2 linked regions of the Kluyveromyces lactis genome follow. The protein of the gene in region 1 purifies or fractionates together with the protein of each later gene. This does not show direct contact. Links are inferred from orthologs where the notes say so. Each region holds a gene or a part of one and is shown on either strand. Other genes may lie near its edges.

Region 1 (2,717 bases):
AGAGACGACCGTATCGAATTCGGAGATGATGGTTGGCCATTACCTGATAATGGATACAAGATGAGTTTAGACTCTTTAGCAAGACTTCAAGATGACAATGGCGCCAAGAACAAGGTGAAGAATATCATGTCCAGACAGTACCATGTTACACCTGACCATCAAAAACGTATGTTGAGGGAAATATCCAGGTTACCCATATTAGACAATATTGTGTTCACTTCTCAGACCAGTAATGAATCATTAGTTCTTAAGGCCACACACCATAACAGGGTACCTAAAGAATTTTCAGTATACTGTGCGAAATATCCAAAGACTCAAAGAGAGCTCTGGTTTGCGATTGCATATCAAAACGATGAACTAATCATGTTGAAAAGATGTCAGCCAAGACTAGGACCCAATGGAAAAGGTTTACTAAGTTTCGACTTTGTTGTACCTGAAGATATTCGCGGTAAAGAATTAGATTTCGTTTTGGTAAGTGATGCTCTTGATATCAAGTACCACCTGAAGCACAAATTGATGGAGTAAGGAACTCTTACATTTTAAACACATATATAAATACATTAATTCTTTTTAATAAAAGTACAACAGTTGGCAAGCAGTTGCCTACACTTCACTCGAAGAAATCGTCTTCTTCTTCTTCGTCGTTGAACTGTTTCTCTGTAGCTTCTTCTTCTACTTGCTCTTCTTCCAACATGACACCCGTACTGTCCTTATTCAATCTCTTACCTTCCAAAATTTGGCTCAAGGACACGGGCAAAGTACCCTCATCCAATTGCTTAGCAACAAGATTACGGAATTCAGTTCTCTTGGCGTCAGTACTATCTAAACCCTTCTTCACTTCTTCAGACAATTCTTTAGCATCTGAAGAGCCAGTTGGATATAACGCAATATATTTACTCAGTCTTGGGAAATTGACAACATAACATAGATCTATCGTACAGTCACGTAACTCGTTTTGAAATCTCTTATTCTCAGGATCAGCAATCACTTTCTTGGACGCTTGCTTGTACCTCCGTAACGCTTTTTTCCGTTCGAAAAACCTCACCATATGATATTTCTTAGCATTTTTACGACCAACCTGCCTCAACTCTGCCTCTTTCAATTCAAACTTCAAACCTTCCAACATACGTTCCTTCTCCACGATTACAGTGTCAGGAAGTACGTCTCTTCTCTTCTGTAGTAGTCTCTCTACGTTTCTTATCTGTTTCTTGATCTTATTCGCTCCAGCACCAATGACACTGGCCAACTGCAACGACGAATCGTGTCTTTGTCTAGGACGTTTAGATTTACCGCTCATATTATCAATGTGGAATATGGTTTACTGCACAGTCTTTGTATCCAGGCCAGCTATTGTCCTGTTACCAACCTATTCAGCTGTACCTCATCTCATCTCATCTCATAGAAGATTCTTTTCAGCTCGAATCAAAGCTTTATTTCTTTTTCTTTGGCAATGAGGTATATGAAGAGACGTGAACAAACAACGAGAGAACTCAAGAAGCGTTGTTGTCCTAGAATACCTACGAAGCAGTAGTACATAAGTATGGTATCGTAATTTTTCGAATTATATATCTGTACGTGTGCACATATTTTATTTATATCCACACAGTAAGATGAAGTTTGCCAGGGAAAATCCCAAGGGTATCTTACAGGTAAAAGGTGCATCCTTTAAACAAGGCATTGCTCCTGGAGGGACGCGGCACCAGCAAACTCTGATCATTTTTTCCACCAATAATTAGGGTATTACAGGATATCAGACGTTTTTTTTGGAGAATTGAAGAGGGCGTGGATGTGTATGTGTTACATGGAATGAGAGAACTGACGCAAAAAGAGAGGGAAGTAAATAGAAGAAGAAGAAGAATAGCACTGGGGCATTCTCGCCCCAGTGTCAGTCCTTCTTCTTCCTGCCGAAAAACCCTCTCTTTTTCTTCGTCTTCTGTTCCTTATTCGCATCAGAAACGGGTGCCTGATACACACCTTGTTGCTGGTACGAATTCGTCGTATTCGTATTCATATTCAAGTTCGATGGGTACCCATGATGGTCGTTCCCATTGCCTGCAACACCACCAGTATACGCCTGGAACCCGGGCCTGACCCTAAACCCGTACTGTGGCGTTTCTAGCTGCTGCGACCAAGTCGGATCTCCAGAGATTGAATACTCAAAGCCTCTAATCGTATCCAACGGACGCTCGTCACGTGACCGCGTGGGGTTAGACACATCAGGTTGCTGGATAGGTTGTCCAAACACGTCCTTCAACTCCCCCGTGGGCACGTGCGACTGTCTGTTCATATTGCCCTGGAACGTGTCTGCTGCTTGCTCGAAGGGCTGCATCTCTTGCACCGCCTCAAGGATAGGATCATGAACCGATGCAGTCCGAACTTTCAAATGCTGACGGTCTTCCTTTGTAATCTTCACTTCGTTTGAACCGGTGGAACCATGGCTGCTCGAATCACCACTACTACGTCTGTTGAAAACACCCATACTGTATTATAACCTTGTATATTAATCCCTTGGACGTTGTTGAACTGAATACAGAGAGGTACTCTCCCCTTTTGATGGAAGTCAATGTTTATGGTCAGGTTCTATTTAAATAGTCTTTTTTCCTATTATAAGATTTTTGTCCAAAAGGCCGAGACTGATGAAGATTTGAATCATGCAATGCGAGAGAGGAATGGAAAAGTTTCGCAAACTCAGCCACTTCGGACGGCTGATAAGTTCA
Region 2 (3,109 bases), on another chromosome or scaffold:
CAACAGATGCACAGATGGACCGTATTATGGTATCGTAACCCGTATGGGGTTATATCCTTTAATTCACTGCTACCAGACATGATTTTCTAGAACGTATGGTTGTTATTGATATATATAAGTTATATATAGTATGTGATAATAATAATAATATATCTACAAATTAAATGTACAAAATAAGGTTAAGAGTGTTCGAGTATTAATACCGTTATTGTGAAAATGGGTTCTTTTGTATTGTCAAGTTGATGAACAAGGTTTTGAAATCTTCTTCTATTCTTTTCCCGTCAGTTAGTCGATCTCCTTTGAACAGGCGAAGGACCTGGACTGTAAGTAAAAGAAACACACAGAGTGACAAAATACAAGTGAAGACGAAGTGGAGACTTTTCTAGTTTGTAGAACTTTATCACGAATCAATGAGATGCAAAATTTCAAATAATATTATAGTGTTAATGATTGTATTGGAATGAAGGTTTTTAAAACTAAAAAGTAAGCAAAAAAAGATTAGAAGCCAAAAAAAAAAGATTAATAGAAGGAATCATGAACCAAGTAGGCATACTCTAGCATTGGTTTCAAAATATCAATATTTCTTTAGCAGCTCTTATAATCCACTTCTCATGTATTTACCGATAACGATACAATGGTCTCTTTCATAAGGTTCCAAAGTCAATTGTTCCAAAGGCTTAATCTTTTCTTCTCTCAATTTTTGAACTTCTCTAGCGAACACAGTTTCAGCATCAACAGTAGAATCGATACAGTTAGCCTTGATAGAGATAACGACACCACCTTGATCCTTCAAGAACATATGAGAGTTCAAAGCAATAATACGGGCTTGATCAGGTTGAGCAACATCTGCGAAGACGGCGTCAACCATACCGATAAGCATTCTGTATTTTTGTGGATGTCTAGCATCTTCAATAATTGGGATAACATTTGGTCTCTTCTTAGCCATAGAGATCAATTCTCTACCTGGTCTGTGAGAGAACTCAACAGCGTAAACCAACCCTTCTGGACCAACGACATCGGAAACGTGGGACACAGATGTACCGGAAGCAGCACCTAGATATAGAACCTTCTTACCTGGAGCAATGAATAGTTCATCCAAACCACCCATGATACCGGCAGCCAATTTGGATCTGAAAGGATTCCAAACACGGTATTCCACCTTAGTTGGTGGGACACCTTCTTCAGTGGAAGGTTCTTCAACTGAAACTCTCTTTTCACCGTACACAGATTCACCTGGAGCGATGTTCTTTGTGACCAAAAGATCTTCTTTACCTCTGGCAATAAAAACACCAGCATGCTTATGAGGTTCGATAACAACCTTAGCACCACCACGGGCACCACCACGAGCACCACCACGAGCACCACCACGAGGACCACCTCTGGAACCACCACGGGCACCACCAAATCCACCTCTGGAACCACCGCGAGCGCCACCACGAGGACCACCACGACCACCACCGAATCCACCTCTGGAACCACCACGGGAACCACCGAATCCACCACGGCCACCGCCAAATCCACCTCTGGAACCACCTCTGGAACCACCGCCGAATCCACCACGGGAACCGCCTCTGCCACCTCTAGAACCTGCTTGGAATGCCATTATTATTCTTAACTAGTTGGGAATTATCTGTCTTGAGATATAATGATTATGCTGCTGTTGCTGCTCTTGATCTTCTTCTCTCTAAATTGGACAAAGGAAAAAAAAAGAATTAAAATTGTGAATCAGTAACAGGTATTGTCGTTGACTTTGAAACAGAATCCTGGACGGCTGTAAAACTCTTCTAAAATGGGTAGATTATAGGAACAGAAAACGTACACAATACTATTCTATAAACAATTGATTACTTCTTTCAAGCAAGAACAACTTAATAAACTCTTACTTTACATTCGATGAGATGAGCTTTCGAAACTTTTTTTTTTCAGCTGAAAAATTTTGAATGAAAAAACAATATTAAATTTCTTTTTCAAAGTTCTCATCTTTGGTCTTTCTGTGCCTCTTGGTACGTACAGAACGATGAACGTTAAAGTCACATGACTATTGTCACATCTGTATCACGTGATATGAATTGATTATATAATCATATGAATCTACAACTTTTCAAGATTTTTTTTTGCTATGTTGAGCCAGATACTTGCTACAATGCGTACGTTTACTAAGGATTTCTATACAAGTTTTTCATAGTCAACATTGCGAAAATATGCAGATGAGATCATTTTTGGTTGTTGTTGTGAATATCGGTATCTTTATAAAAGCAGATAAAAAATCAGAGAAGTGGAACCAGCTTTGACTTTTGTACGTTATAGCAATCAGAATCTGAATTAGTATATCTGGATAAATTTTCTGGTTTAGTTTTGAGATCCTATTTTCCAAACTATCGCTGTATATTTTAATCCGACAGTTGAAGATATTACCTAGATAAGTGTCCCTTTATGTCTGCATCCAGTTCAATTTTTATTAAATCACGCTCAAAGAGCTTAAAAGACGTCAAGTTGGAAGTTCCAACAGAAAATACGTTGACATATCAATCTGTTTTGCAACAGATTTCGAAAAGCAATCACAATATTAGCGTTAACAGGTTAAGGTTAAGCTATCTGAAAGAAGGTAAGCAAGTCGCCATTGGGCCCTCTGAATTGAACGATGTTGGTAAGAAAAACACGTTCGATTCAGTTAACGAGTGGTATGTTAAGGATTTGGGTCCGCAGATCTCTTGGAGACTGGTGTTTTTCATCGAATATTTGGGTCCGATCTTGATCCATTCTTTAGTTTACCTTTTGTCTTTAAACGCAACAGTTAGGGACAAATTTCATTCTAAAAATGTTCCATATAACGATTTCTTCAATAAGTTCATCTACCGTCTGATTATGGTCCATTATCTAAAGAGAGAATTCGAAACATTGTTCATTCATTCTTTCTCCCTGGAAACCATGCCATTGTTCAATTTGTTCAAGAACTCTTTCCATTACTGGATCTTGAACGGGTTGATCTCGTTGGGTTACTTTGGTTACGGGTTCCCATTCGCTAACAAGACCTTATACAGAGTTTACAGCGCTCTCAAGATATCTGATTTCAGAGTCTTAACCGCTTTGTTTGGATTGTCAGAGATGT

What was found. The genes of interacting proteins can lie anywhere in the genome.
Region 2: the proteins of EFG1 (region 1) and NOP1 purify together in Saccharomyces cerevisiae (affinity purification with mass spectrometry, with the first as the bait; 3 studies listed by BioGRID). This does not show direct contact. The link is inferred for Kluyveromyces lactis from reciprocal best matches to the Saccharomyces cerevisiae genes EFG1 and NOP1.

Annotation. Positions count from the first base shown.
Region 1 is NC_006037.1:870,780-873,496, forward strand, and holds EFG1 (Efg1p), read right to left. Parts: upstream 1,298-2,717; coding exon 611-1,297; downstream 1-610. Other genes in the region: SLH1 (RNA helicase), read left to right, coding at 1-525; KLLA0_A09933g (DUF2406 domain-containing protein), read right to left, coding at 1,886-2,479. UniProt on the Saccharomyces cerevisiae protein: Involved in rRNA processing. Required growth at elevated temperatures, resistance to hydroxyurea and for cell cycle progression.
Region 2 is NC_006039.1:399,915-403,023, reverse strand, and holds NOP1 (rRNA methyltransferase NOP1), read right to left. Parts: upstream 1,604-3,109; coding exon 596-1,603; downstream 1-595. Other genes in the region: trans-2-enoyl-CoA reductase (NADPH) TSC13, read left to right, coding at 2,434-3,109.